2 linked regions of the Schizosaccharomyces pombe genome follow. The protein of the gene in region 2 interacts with the protein of the main gene of each other region in a biochemical or structural test. Each region holds a gene or a part of one and is shown on either strand. Other genes may lie near its edges.

Region 1 (10,906 bases), on a different chromosome or scaffold from region 2:
ACAAGGATTCGATTAGTTATTCTACAACAATTGATCGGTTTAAACAGAATTTATTGTTTCTGCTTCCTAAACGGGAGTTTTATTCTCTTATCGATGCTTGTAAAGTTTCGGATTATGTTATTTTCGTTCTTTCTGCTGTCCAAGAAGTTGATGAATTTGGCGAACTCATTGTTCGCACAACTCAAGGGCAAGGAATTTCCAGTGTTTTGTCTATGGTACATGATCTTTCTGAGGTGGATAGTTTAAAGACTCGGAACGAAGTTAAAAAGTCGCTACAGAGCTTTATGAACTTTTTTTTCTCAGACCAAGAACGTGTGTTTGCCGCGGATGTTTCTCAGGATGCTTTGAACGTTATGCGTGCATTGTGTACATCACATCCACGTGGAATACATTGGCGTGATTCAAGATCTTACTTGTTGTCTCAAGAAATCTCTTATAGTAACGGAAATCTTTTAGTTCGCGGAATTGTGCGTGGCAAGGGTTTAGACCCGAATCGTTTAATACATATCCAAGGTTTCGGGGACTTTGCTATCAATCGCATTTATGAAGCTCCTCAAGGTATACAAAATTCTCGTGGGATTTCAATGGATGAAGATACCAATTTGACTGGTGGGTTAGTGGAATTGTGTAGTCCTACTCAAGAACAGGATTCATTAGAGTCCTTGGGGCCTATAATAGATGATATGGATACTGATATGGATTCTGAAGTTGGAAAAGAAGCATCGCGTGGTGTTCGTCTGGATGATTTTTACTATTTTGACGATGAGGAAGAGCCAGTTGCGGTTGCGAAACGTGTACCAAAAGGTACCTCAACGTACCAAGCTACTTGGATTCCAGATGAAGATGAGGAATCCGATCAATATAGTGATGTTGAGGATACTGAAGTTATTATAGAAGATCAGGATAATCAAGAAATTTCTAACCATGTTGCTGAAGAGAAAATTGATAGTGACGAAGAAGAAACAATCGATGATGCTAAATCGGAAATGTTTGTTGATTTATCGGAAGAAGAAGAAGTTAGACAATACGAGGAATACCGCAAGAAGCAAAAAGAATTACAGGAAGAACTTGAATTTCCCGATGAGGTAGAGCTTCAACCTAATGAATTAGCAAGGGAGCGCTTTAAAAAATATAGGGGTCTACGGAGTCTTTATACTAGTCAATGGGATGCAGATGAGTATGATCCTAATGAACCAAGGGAATGGAGACAGTTGTTTAAATTTGAAAACTATCGGAATTTGAAGAATAAATTTTTAAAGCAGCCTTTTATTGGTGAAGCTAAGCCTGGAAAGGCTGTTTATGTGGAACTTAGGAACGTTCCGATTGAAATATTCGAGTATTATAATAAGCCTTGGAATCTTTTAGTGCTTTATTCTTTGCTACAATATGAGAATAAACTGACTGTTTCTCAATTTACTGCAATGCAGCATTCTGAATATGAAGAGCCCATTGAATCCAAAGAAGAACTTCTTCTTCAAATTGGACCTCGCCGTTTTATGGTTCGACCTCTTTATTCAGATCCCACGGCTTCTGGTGCTTCCAACAACTTACAAAAATATCATAGATATCTTCCACCTAAGCAAGCTGTTATCGCATCTGTTATTTCTCCTATCGTCTTTGGTAATGTACCTATAATAATGTTCAAAAAGTCATCGGATAACTCTTTGCGTCTTGCCGCTACCGGCTCATATGTAAATTGTGATACCAATTCTGTCATTGCTAAAAGAGCTGTTCTAACAGGTCATCCTTTCAAAGTACACAAAAAATTGGTCACTATTAGATATATGTTTTTTAATCCAGAAGACGTTATTTGGTTCAAACCTATTCAGCTTTTTACTAAACAAGGGCGAACGGGTTATATTAAGGAACCACTTGGTACCCACGGTTATTTCAAGGCAACTTTTAATGGTAAAATTACAGTACAAGATACTGTAGCTATGTCGCTTTATAAGCGTATGTATCCTTTACCTTGCGAGTTATTCAAGGTTACGGATATTGATTCATAAAAAAATTTGTGAATATTAGTAGTTTAGTTTTTGGTAATGGGTTTAGGCATAAAAAATGGAATACTCTAATTATTTTACTCTAGCAGAGAATTGGGATATTGGGATATTATGGAAATGTAGTACTTGTGTGTTAAATTTAATGTTAGAAGTATCGTAACTCAAGCTTTCTAAATAGATACGAATAAATAATAGAGTTATACTAACTTTTCAATAACTCAAGGGTTATTTTTTAATGCTTTTACTTTTTGGAATAGCTTAGCTGATTGCGGTAAAGCAACGATGCAAAAGGCCTGAAGATCTAAAAACAATGTGCTCGATAAATACTCAGATAAAGAAGGTATTTCGAATAGTTTGGATATAAATAAAGTCGCAACAGTGGATATTCGTTGCTTTTCTAAATGTGATGTATTGGTAACTTGGTTATGCAAGGATACAAGCATGTGATAAAGAAAAGATTTGCCGTTAAGATCAAATTGAGCAAGGCTTTCTTCTTGTTGCAATAAATAAAGTAAGACTTCTACATTTGAAACTGTAACGGGAATATTAGCAAGAAGCAAGAGAAATTTATCGTTAAACGAGGAATCAGAGTGCTGTAGAAGATGAAGGAAAAAAACTTTACTATAAGAAAGGTTCATCGAAATAAAAGATTCAAGCTGCTTGGAGGCAGGCAAATCAGAATTTGTGTACGTCGTGTTGCTTTGAAGTAAAGAATTCTAAAGCGAAATGTCAGTAGCAATTCCTCGAAAATTGAAAAAAAAAGGATAATCTTACCTGTTCCTCTTCCGTTAGCTCTCTCTCTCCCCCTGAAATCCAAAAAGAATTTAGAAAATTAGAGGAAGACGGTACAAGTTCTTGTTTTTCTAGCCAAGCCTGTAACTCATTCTCTTCAACTAGGGAATCAGCTTCGACTACATCCTGGCTAGTTACAGAAGCGGCAAGCTCAAAAGGAGAAACTTTCAGCAACTATGCATAGTTAGTACCAACAAACAACTTGCATTTGTTATGGCAAAAAAAAAATTCAATCACAAAAGTTTCGTTCGAAAATTGACGTATCGAAACAAAAAAAAATAAACTGCTTTCTTTTTCTCTTTACACATACCTCTGAAATTCTCCCTGAAAGTATTTTAGCTAGCAAATATCTGCGGGGAGGAAAACTACAAGATTGCCAGGTATTAAAAAAGTGACCTAGAAAAGGAATCCATTTTAAAGGTGTTTTCTGATAATAAAACCATATTAAAAAGTCACTAATAAGTGGTATTAAAAGCTATGGCAAGTTAGAGAAAATCCAGTAAAAAATCATAAGTTAGTACATCGCTAGAGTTATCAGCCTCACTCATTAACGTTAGAGCATGTTGAAATTTTTCTAAGTCATTATCGTTAGGCGCTTGATGTAGTAGACCAATTTCTGCAAAGCTAGTGTTTTCCCATTCCTTACCCAACATGGCTGTTGGAATCTTCCCTCTAAAACAATAAGAATAATGAGTCACAACGTGGATGTACTAGCAAAAATGTATGGTTTGAACCATATATTAGAATAGTTGAAAAAAAATTTTAGTATCTCAATGGTCAAAAATATGAATAAATAATCGTGAGTTTTTTAGGTATTCTTAAATAAAACGACGGTGCCCTGCGTAGACAGAATATCAAATATACGTCCAAGAAAAGGCGAAATATTTAATTGAAAATTACAGATAATCTTTTAAATAGCTTAAGGGAAGCATTAACAATCAATTTCCTTTAAAACGTTTACTTTCGGACCTTAGTGAAGTAGATAGTACGCGTTTGGAGGAAACCTCGGAATCATCTTCTGAAATTCTCCTTTCTGGATAATGAATAGGTTGATTTAAAAATGGGCTAAAAAGTGAGTTAGTAAAAGCTTATTTCTTTCGATGATAAATAGGAAAAGGAAGAACACGTACCTAGTGGTCCATAATTTATCGGAAGTAAAAAAAACGTGTTCCAAAGCTTGCTTAGCAGTTATGCGTGATTTTGGATCGTATTGTAGCATTTTCATCAGTAGATCTAACCCTTGCGGATCCCGATTTTTTACGGTTTGATACCACTGAGGAAGCAAATTATTCCAGTAACGAACTTCAAATGATGATAATTGATAGTACTCTGGATAATTTTTGAGACCTGGCCAGCGTTCTTCTGTTGGTGTGCCTAGTAACTCCATTATGCGTAGCATTTGAGTACTCTGAAAAGGAACGACTTTTTTATCTTCCATTTTTATTTCATCTCCTTTGAAAAGAGGAGAAAGAGCAAGCATTTCTCCATAAATACAACCAATTGCCCAAACATCTATTGCTGGGGTATAATCGTGAGCTCCCAAAAGTAGCTCTGGCGCACGATACCAAATAGTAACTACTACACGATCGCTGGAATAAAATGGTAATATGGGATCCCGAATGAGCCTTCCCAGCCCTAGGTCCCCAATTTTTACCTTGCCTGTAGCTGTAATCATTATGTTTGCTGGTTTCAAATCTCGATGCATAATCCAGTTTTCATGTAGGTATGCTACACCATTAATGATCTGCCATAGAATACTTTTTAAAATTGATGGTGGAATTTGTCTTGTTCTAGATCGGCTATGGAAATGAATAATTTGCAACAGATCGTGTTCGGCGTATTCAAAAACCATGCTAATTGTGCCATCTTTGAGTAAAACTTGAACCAAGCTAACTATATTTTCATGCTGAATTTCTCTACACAGCATCATTTCACGAATAGCACTTTGAGAAACGCCGGTTTGTTGAGCATTCGAGCTTACTTGCTTTGACTCAGCTTTGAACTTTTTAATTGCAAACAGTCGTTTATCATTCGAATTAGATGAAACCGCTTTATAAACCTTTCCATAAGTTCCAGATGAGATAAACCCAATAATTTTATAACCGTCTTTCATGCTGAAATGACCCTACCCTATCAAACCTTTAAAGAGATGGATATATACACATTCAATCACATAGGGATGCTTTTTACAGTCTTTATATAAAAAGTATCCGACTTTTTAGTATCACTTAAAAAGTCAGATGAATGTAGGTCTCTCTATAGTGGGAAGTGACGAAGGCGACAGAAACATTAGTATTAGGCGAATAAAGAGTCAAAGTACCACGAATCTTTTTATGCCTACCCACTATTAACGAAAACACCAAGTCTGATAAACTGAAGGTTTTAAACATCAGATGGTAATTTTCATAAAGCTGTTTGTTCTTATTTAAAAGTTAACTGAATTTGTGAATTGATTGGCAAGTATAGAAAATCCGTGCACTACTGAGCTTTTGTATCTCACCACTGACATTCTTCTCGAAAGCAATGATTCGCATTCTGTCATGCGATATGCAGCATAATGTCTGTATGCCTATTCAATTTTAACAATAGCACTTTAGAAGTATGCCATTTCTTTTGATGATTTAAGTAATGTTCTAATTCTTCAAGTGTATACAAAGTAGTGATATAATGTCTTAATTTATATGATGTGTAGTTAAAAACTGTCTGTAGGAAATTTTATTTGACAAGCAATAAAATAAATTGATATATTCGTCCACTATCTGAGTAATTGGAGTAAATAAATATAAATAACAATTCAAAGTCACATGGAAACTTAAACTAGCCACAAGTAGTCATGATTTTAGGAAATTTTAATTGATTCATGTCATTTCATTAATAAAACGCTCTGCTCCATTGAAATATTTTTACCAACAAAAAAGTAAGTACTTAATAAATGTTATTAATGACCTGAGATAAAGTTAGTAAAGTAGGCTCGTCTTAATATACCCTACCATAACGTTGGAACTCCCATTCACGATTGTCCAAAGGACAAACATTCCTAGTGTTTAACCATCTTGAGATGCAGTGAAAGTGAAATGCATGCTTTTGTATTTGTTAAAAACAGTCCTGAGCTAAGAATACGAAAGAAATCGAATTAAAACTTACATTACAAGTTCCCCATGCCACTGTGCACTCTTGAGCAGCAGCAGAATCGGTGTTAGCTTGACACTCAATACATAAGTCCATAATATGATTTCTGCAGATAGCACAGTTATCTACAACAATGTCCCATTGCCATAATGCTACAGCATTCCACTAAATTGAAGGTAAGCAATATGAATCAGAAGAACTCATAAAAAAAGCAAAGAGAGTAAACTAGTACTTAAGTGTATGCTTATTTTAAAATAGCAAATATATCTTTGGGTATTAATTTTCACAGTTTACTTTGCTTTATGGCAAATTTGATACACATGAAGAACATGATCATAAAAATAATGACGAACCTTTTTAATTTCAAATCGAGGAGGTTTTTGTTCAATTTCCACCTCCTTCTTGTCTATTTGCATTTCATCTTCCATTGTGATGAGTAAAATAGAGCAAAGCCGCTACTTCGTTTTAAGATGAGATGTTTAAGCGGTGTGATAAAGGGGGTTGAAAATTGCAGCTTCGCTAAGCAATACTCAAACATAAGATAATTTTTGGAGTAATGTAATAAATTTTGCTAAAACACAAGTATTTAATATAATAAATAATGGATCATGGATCTTTCAATCGCAAAATGCGTACTCAAAAAATGAAGGATGATTATTCATCTGCTGTTTCATGAGTGTTTAGCACTATATCTATTTAGCTACATTAAATTACTCAGTTTGTTTAAATGTGTAAACTTTTAATTCTATGTTACATGATGACAATACAAGTTTCTTAGATATTATTTGTATTATGTGTGCTCGTTAGACATCTATTGAATAAGTTTTGTATATAATATCGAAGTACTGAAGACGGTTTCCTACAAACGTTTCAACCAAAATTAGTAAATAGCCCTATTTATCTATAATATTGTACCTTCTCTAGCATATCAAATTGAACACATTCAGCGAATTTTTCTGAAGTAATAGAGCTATTTTTTATTATTGTATTTCATCCAAATATAAATACCTTGGAAGTGAAATATACAAGGGAAGTTAATTCCAAAATTGATTTATTTTTAACTTGTATTGACTCTGAAATTCAAGACTGATTGAAAAAAGCTTTATCCATACAATTAATAAATAAACCATCTCAATATAACAATCGTAGAACAAGATGCAGTTAATGTTTATTTTAGTCCAGCATATTCGTCTTCTGATTACAAAAGTTTTCAAAAGTAGGTTGCACTATTTGTTGTAAATGGTCTTTGCTAGTATGCAAAATTAATAATAGTTTACAAAACTTGAAAAATAATGAACACAAGAATATCATTTCTATAGATCGGGTGTATCTTTACTAGGATTTTAATTTCCGATTATACACAGCTGCTGCCTCCTGTGGCTCATTTGATTACTATATTATTGCGATCGTATAGTCATTTGTACTAAACAAACCTCGTATATGGCTTTTTTTTGTAAAAATTTCTACTAGTTTGACTGCTTATATTTTGCTAAAAATGTCTTTAAAATGATCGGCATCAAATTGTATGGTAATTTCGTTGAGTAAACATTCGTATCTACAGTGATTTCATCGTCAACATCGGATTTCCTTCAATTTTTGAAAGTTATCATCAAAGAGATTTAAATGATAGATGGAATATATTAAGCCGAAAAATCTGGTTTTCAAGTTTACATCTGTTAGCAAATTTTAAAAGGATCTACAGCTAAGTACCGTGCTAAGAGCATGCCAAGGGGTTTTGAGATATCTCGCTAAGTTTAAAACCAAAATACTGTGTAGCTATACAATGCACTAAAACTGGCAAAGTATAATAACGCGGAAGCTACGTTCAAACTATTGGAAATGTAACCTGCCTAACGAGACGCAAGGATATTTGCATTGGGGATTGTCAGCTTGAAGTCGAGCTGAATGAAATGCTAAGCTTAAAATCAAACAAATGAAATTTATAATTAACTATCTTTATGCAAGCCTGTGCATATTAAAAATCGACTAATACAAAAACAAGAAACAAATTGAACTTGTTAGTAAAACGAAAGAGAACGGTAGCGATACTTCGTTGAGGCAAGCATGTTTTGGAATAAGTAGTTTTTTAAAAGTTTGGAGCCTGTCTACAAACATTTTGCAACATGAAGAGATCATAGCCTACGGATCTTGAATTTGAGGAAAAAATGCTAATGTACTTTTACTTATTTACATCGCTCTGTCATTAATTTTGTCTTTTTTTTTTTTGTAAAAATACTCAATTCTCTAAAATATATATCCCCGTCAAATGCCAAAAGAGCAAACAAAATAAAATTGAATAAGTAAATAAATATAGCCTGTATGCAAGGATACGAAATTTTAAATAAATAAAAAAAAGCGCGGCTCAGATAAATTAAAGATATACTTTGTGTATTAAAAATCAATTTCTTTTATAATCGCAGCGATTAACTACTAACTCACGTCACACAAGAGAACAAATAAAAAAAATAAAAAAAAAATAAAAAGGTTCCAAATAGCAAAACAGTCTTAAATGAGTGCTTTACTCAATTTGTATAACGGGCATCTCCATCAGACTACAACGCCGCTTTTTACTTGAATATTTGGACGGTAATTATGATTACACTACGAATGTAAAAAATAGGCAAGTTACAGTAATCAAAGTTAAATTTTTAATATGAGTTGATGTGTAATCGCTCCTATAAGATTACTTCGAGATAGAAGGTAAAGGAATTTATAAAAACCATGACGGAACTAATCACCTTAAGATGCTTTTTAACAAGTACCCGAAATCTCTGGAGTTAATCATTTCAACTTTGTGTAATAAATGATGCAAGCATTCTACTGACTTAATATTCATATACATTCAACAGTCTAGCTTACAGTGCACATGTATAGCAAAAAAACATTTTATGTTTCAGCATACATTTTATTACCTTGGAGTACTAGCTTCTAAATACAATACATATTCTCCAATTAGGGCATTTATTCTAGATCAATATTTAAAATATCCACATTCATATTCTATTCCTAAATCATGCACAGTAGTCTAGAATTGTTCAACCTTCAACAATGATTAAATAATTTTCTGAAGCAAATCATCCTAGACAGTGGAAGATAATATAGCTTATTCACAAAAAAAATAAACATAAAATCAACTTAAAAATCATTTATGCCTTTCAACATTATTTCTGATTAAACTGTATTGCCAAAATAATTTTGTAGACTGTTGTTTGCTATTTCTTAAAATATTGAACAAATTTGAATAATCAAGTAGTTTTTTTCTCACTCAGTGCATCAAAAATGGGAAATATAAATTACTTAAGTTTTAAAGTAATAACTGGATGTCACACAAAGATGAAATACACAAAGGCCAAAATAATCATCGAAACTACAAGAAGTTAAAAAGTAACAGGTAAATGCTTCTGAAGTACAGTACAGTTCAGTCTAGTCAATCAGTTGAATACCGGTATGACCTTTGCAATCTTTTCTCCTTCAACTTGCTAAGCATATCCACTGCGCCTCTACTTCTCTACAGCACGGTAAATACTTTGTTTACATGACTAAATAAATCTGTTTACACTGCAGATGGACAGATCGTTGCTGCGGTAACGGTAATTGTCAGTAAACAAATGTCTGAAACCATTTACGGAAACGTAAATACCGTTGCATATGAGCGAAAAATAAACAAGATTAGCATAGCTGGAAGAAGCATTTTCTATACCAAATAATATTTATGATTTTCTGCTTTTTTCTAGTATAAAAAAATCCTACCTCTTCAGAGATCTGGTGACTGTTATTTTTCACTAAAACAAACAAGTGATGTCACGTTTAAAAGCCCGTGAATGTGACTTTTTAAGGGTCAAACACTGCGGTTTGTGTCTCTCCCTTTAAATGTTTATGCGATGAATAACCTTAAAACCAAAGCTGGAATACAAATGAAGTTTTGACAGAAAATACAGCATTGTTTACATTGAGTGTTTACAATTCTCAATCTGTAAAGAGTCGAACGCCTTGTTGTCATGCCAATGTGTTTAACGAGAGTCAAATTACTCGTAAACGTACAAGTTTAGCCAATAAACGGTCTTCAAAGTTTGGTCGCAAGCTCCTCGTTGGTGTTGTGGCCTAGCAACCAGCAATACACAATTACTCATTGTTTACAGTAAACATTGCAACGAAATTGCGCACCTCGTTGTCCCCCTTTTTATCTAACAAGTCACAATTCTTTGCATTTTCCGGGTATATATAGATGTCTTTTCCGCAACTCGCTTCATCCTCAGCGAACTACATTTGAGTTTTAAACACTCTTTTACTTCTTTATTCATTACCCACGCATTCATTTATAAAACATATCATATATATTACCCGTAATATATAGCATATACCTTTTATAAATACCCGCTATTCTGCATATCTTTTGTGGTCAATCTCTGTCTTTTTGATTATTACTACGTTTCCCCTTATAAACGCATTTTACATATTTGTCCTCTTTCTCTTTTGATTTAACAAATTTACCTTCATATTCCCTTTTTGCATCCTAAAAACTATCTTTCGTTATATTTTTCCAATCATATTTCTACATTATATAGTCTAAAGTCAATATGTTGTTCAAATCATTCGCTCTCACTCTTCTTTTCGCCGCAGCTCGCGTACAAGCTGCTTCCAACTGCTCCAGCGGCCCTTACAATATCTCCGCCCAAGGTACTCTTGACGAGCTTAACAGCTGTACTGTATTGAATGGTGATTTGTACATTTCTGATGCTGGTAACTCTGGCATCACCACCCTTACTGTTAATGGAATTGAGTCCGTTCAAGGTGATGTTGTGGTTTCTGATGGTCAATATTTGACCTCTCTTTCCTTCCCTTCTTTGAAAAACGTTTCTGGTGCTTTTAACGTTAACAACATGATCCGCATGAACAACCTTGCTACCCCTGAGCTCACTTCGGTTGGAAGCCTAAATCTTGCTGTTTTACCAAACTTACAGGAGCTTCAATTTAACGCTGGT
Region 2 (3,600 bases):
GCCAATCGTGTGGATTGGGAACTGCAACATATTTCCAAAAAGGTGCAGGAGAAGACGTTGGATATGTAGAAGATCCAATAGGAGATCCAAATGCAGCCTTTTTTGTTTGAGAAGCACTATTAGCATCTAAAGCATAATCATGGGTGCTAATAATATCAGATAATGCAGCATGTGTAGGCGTTTTGTAGGTTTCCATTTGCTTTTCTTCTGCTGAGGTTTCAGCAGTCGAGGGTGAGCCCACATCTTTAGGAGTTGAAGGAGTTTGATCACGAGCAGATGTAGTGGATGAGGCTGGCTCCGCCGCCGGAATAGAGGTGTCCTTCATTTTCGGAAGGATGGGAATTGGTAATGATGGAGAACCCTCTCTCTTTTTTGCTAATAATGGCACAGGAGAGGAGGGCGAGCGTTTACGCGGTGTTTTTCTAGTCTTTGCAATAAACTCTTCGCGAAATTCAGGCACAATCGACCACTTCATTCCCTTCCCCTGCTCACCTGACTTCCGTGGAACCTTTCGAAATGCTTTGTTGAGAGATAAATTGTGACGGATAGAATTCTGCCATCCACTTTTTGTTGTGCGATAATATGGGTAATGTGTTGAAATCCATGAATATATGTTAGAAAGAGTCATCATGCATTCAGAAGAAGATAAAATTGCTTGTGCAATCATAACAGAATAACTGTATGGTGGTTTTTTATTATCACCATATTCAGCAGCATCGTTTACGGCTGCGGAAATTTCAGACTTTATAGCATCCTCCTTTATAGTGCTTTCGTCAGTTTGCTTTTGCTCAGCTGCATTGGGTAGTACGAACATCATTTGTAAACCCGCTACTTCGAGTATAGATCTAGTAGATAATTAGTAAGACGAAAAAGAAATAAAAAAAAATAATTGGCATAATTTCCTGCATTTATTTGAACTAGGACGGAAATAATTATTTTCTTGATAATTTGACAAATCCTTAACGCGCATTTATAAAATAACCAAACATTCGTTTAAAATTGACAAATAACACGAGAAAACCATAGAACTTATGAAAGAGTAAAGCATAAATTATGCGCTGCTGAAACCATCAATATTCCGTCCTGTCGCAAATCACGACGAACCAACACTATTCTAGTAAATGATTTTTAACATACCCACTTGTAAGCTTGACTGTTTCCCCATTCTTGAATAACTTGCCATCTACTTTAATGCCATTTCGACCGTAAACTGAGCAATTCCATGTTTGGTCATCCAAATCATATTCCACAACAGCGTGTTTTCGACTCACAACTTTAGAAGGACCAAAATTCATATCAATTACTTCTAAATCTTCATTTTTCCCCTTTGGTGAAGGATTTGCTGGTTCGCGACCAAGTATAATTCGAATTTTCTTAACATAATAAGTCCATGTACTTCCAGCGAATTTCGCATAAGCTTGTATTTCTCCAGAGTGTCTTTCCGCATTTTTACTGTTCGAATAATCATCGACCACTCTCATTTCGTGAGGTGGAACGGACAACTTCGCAATTTGGGATTCCAGGCGACCATTCAATACAATGTTACGATCTGTGTCTACATCCATTTGCTTTTTGTAATCTAACTGTTCTTTTCTCTCCTCGTCATCTGATATATGCTCAGACTTGCTTTCGAGTCTGCGAACAGTCATTTTTCCTTTCTACAGCAATTGTGCTGTTGGTGTGTGTTTATTTACACTCGTTTGTTGTTGTCAACATTCGTTTACCTTCCGTTGCCAGCGCTTCACGGTATAACTAATATTGACCATCATTTTAGATACATAGAAATTAAAATATACATTTTTCTAAATATTTGTACATTTTTTATTTTTGTCAACAATGCGTCTTTGTTATCGTTGCTATTTATATTTTTGTAAACAATCAAGATACCGGATCTTCGATATACTTTTTTAAATACTAAGCAGTTAAAAAAATCCTCTTAATATATTGGCGTAGGATTAACTTATAAAAAAAAAAAACTCAAACAATCATAACTCTGCAAGACTTGTAATAATTTTAGCTTTTCAGCACTCAGTGTTTTTTGCACATGTAATGGCGTCTAACGGTCGCGTGCATATCCTAGTAATTACCCTATTATTTAAAACGTGTCTACTGAAGATTTATTTTGAGAACTGTACAAGCTATTACATGAATACACTAAGAGTATTAATTGTGTTTTATGGAAATTCCGAATCATTATTTCGCTTTCAATCAACCGATTTTGTGTGGCTGCAATATTAACGCTCAACTGTTTACTCACGTTATTTTCCATATTTTTACTAACTACGCGATTCGCGAAGTCTCTGTAGGATACGTAATATTATTTGGTGAGTTCGTAGCGCACTATAATGTGTGGTACACAACAGAAAGTATTATGCAATATACAGTTACCGAACATAACTCAGGCACGGAGAGACTTTGATATTATAATAAATAATATGTGGCTTACATGAACAGACAAACTTGATCTTGAATGATCTTTATTTCCCATACTTTTTTCTTCAGTAATATTGAAAATAGTCAATAAACGGCTTGATGGTTCCAGCTTCAGGACTCATTGGAGAACTCACACGTGAAGATGTCAGGCTTATAACGATATTTAACATACCGCAACAAAAACATTTAGCATGGTATAATCTCATTGCTTCACCTACACATGTATGCTAACGTGAAGTAACGAGTAATTACTATTTAGCGGATGTATACGATCGCTGGCACACACTCTCGTAGGTTTAACCTGTCGCGTATATCATCCATAATCGCTTCGCAGCGATCACCATTTATTTATTTATTTACCTATCTAAAGCACCAAATTCCTTTAGTTTCAAAGCGTTAAATTTTGAATGATAAACTGCATTTTTGCTCACTTGCGTTAACTTTCGGTTGTAAAAACCGGTAACAACGATTCGATAAATACAAATTAAAAGACCTGTTCTCCCTCAAGTTTGAAGTTAGCAGGCTTCAACATAGTTTATTGATAGGCTGCTGAATGTCTTCCGGCGATGTATCTCGTAGACAGCGTGTTTCTAGAGCATGTGATGAATGTCACAGGAGAAAGATCAAATGTGATCAGAGAAGGGTAAGATGTCAATTTCTTTGCTCTATTTATGTTTTGCATAATTTTATTATTTGAGTTGGGAACTGAGAACTCACTTCACCCAGTTACCGCTTTCTCTGAAGTTGATTGTAGCTTGATTGATTTCAGTTCAGCTAGAGAGCATGCGGATAACCTTTGTCGTTAATTTATTATTTTTTTGGCTTTTATTGCTCTTTTTCTATCTTATTTGCATTAATTTGGATGAGCGATTAGAAATAAATATAAATTTCTGTTCTTTACTAACTTTTTCAGCCTTGCTCGAATTGCATAGCATATAACTATGGTAAGTGCCTACAATTTAGATGAGATTATTTTCTTCAAGTTTAGTCGCTTTAAAATTTATTTCAAGCCTCTATTATAATTGGATGGAGTTTTCTAACTTTGTTGAAGAATGTACTTATGGTCAACCTTTTAAGCGATTACGGCATGCTCCTGAGAAGTATATAGAATTTTTGGAGCTTCGATTGAAATATCTGAGGGGACTGGCTGAAGAAAGCGATCCAAAT

What was found. Proteins that work in one complex are often made in the same cells at the same time.
Region 1: of the proteins of fkh2 (region 2) and srb10, one has a biochemical effect on the other in vitro, tested with the Schizosaccharomyces pombe proteins (one study listed by BioGRID).

Annotation. Positions count from the first base shown.
Region 1 is NC_003424.3:1,570,856-1,581,761, reverse strand, and holds srb10 (mediator complex cyclin-dependent protein kinase subunit Srb10), read right to left. Parts: upstream 5,056-10,906; 5' UTR 4,909-5,055; coding exon 3,926-4,908; exon of another isoform or gene 3,861-3,925; coding exon 3,734-3,860; downstream 1-3,733. Other genes in the region: ribosome biogenesis protein Tsr1, read left to right, coding at 1-2,006; protein Not11, read right to left, coding at 2,222-2,719, 2,778-2,969, 3,106-3,270, 3,317-3,448; SCF complex, Cul4-RING and CLRC ubiquitin ligase ligase E3 subunit Rbx1, read right to left, coding at 5,734-5,741, 5,786-5,876, 5,940-6,089, 6,278-6,352; extracellular leucine-rich repeat domain, receptor L domain-like Ecm33, read left to right, coding at 10,502-10,906. UniProt on the Schizosaccharomyces pombe protein: Catalytic component of the Cdk8 module/Srb8-11 module which is a regulatory module of the Mediator complex that regulates basal RNA polymerase II transcription.
Region 2 is NC_003423.3:4,241,014-4,244,613, forward strand, and holds the start of fkh2 (DNA-binding forkhead transcription factor Fkh2), read right to left. Parts: upstream 1,706-3,600; 5' UTR 1,650-1,705; coding exon 1,138-1,649; exon of another isoform or gene 846-1,137; coding exon 1-845. Other genes in the region: regulatory protein ntu1, read left to right, coding at 2,987-3,076, 3,347-3,377, 3,485-3,600. UniProt on the Schizosaccharomyces pombe protein: Required for promoter sequence element PCB-driven, M-phase-specific transcription. Acts as a transcriptional activator with a role in the regulation of mitosis. Binds, cooperatively with mcm1, the CLB cluster regulatory elements throughout the cell cycle.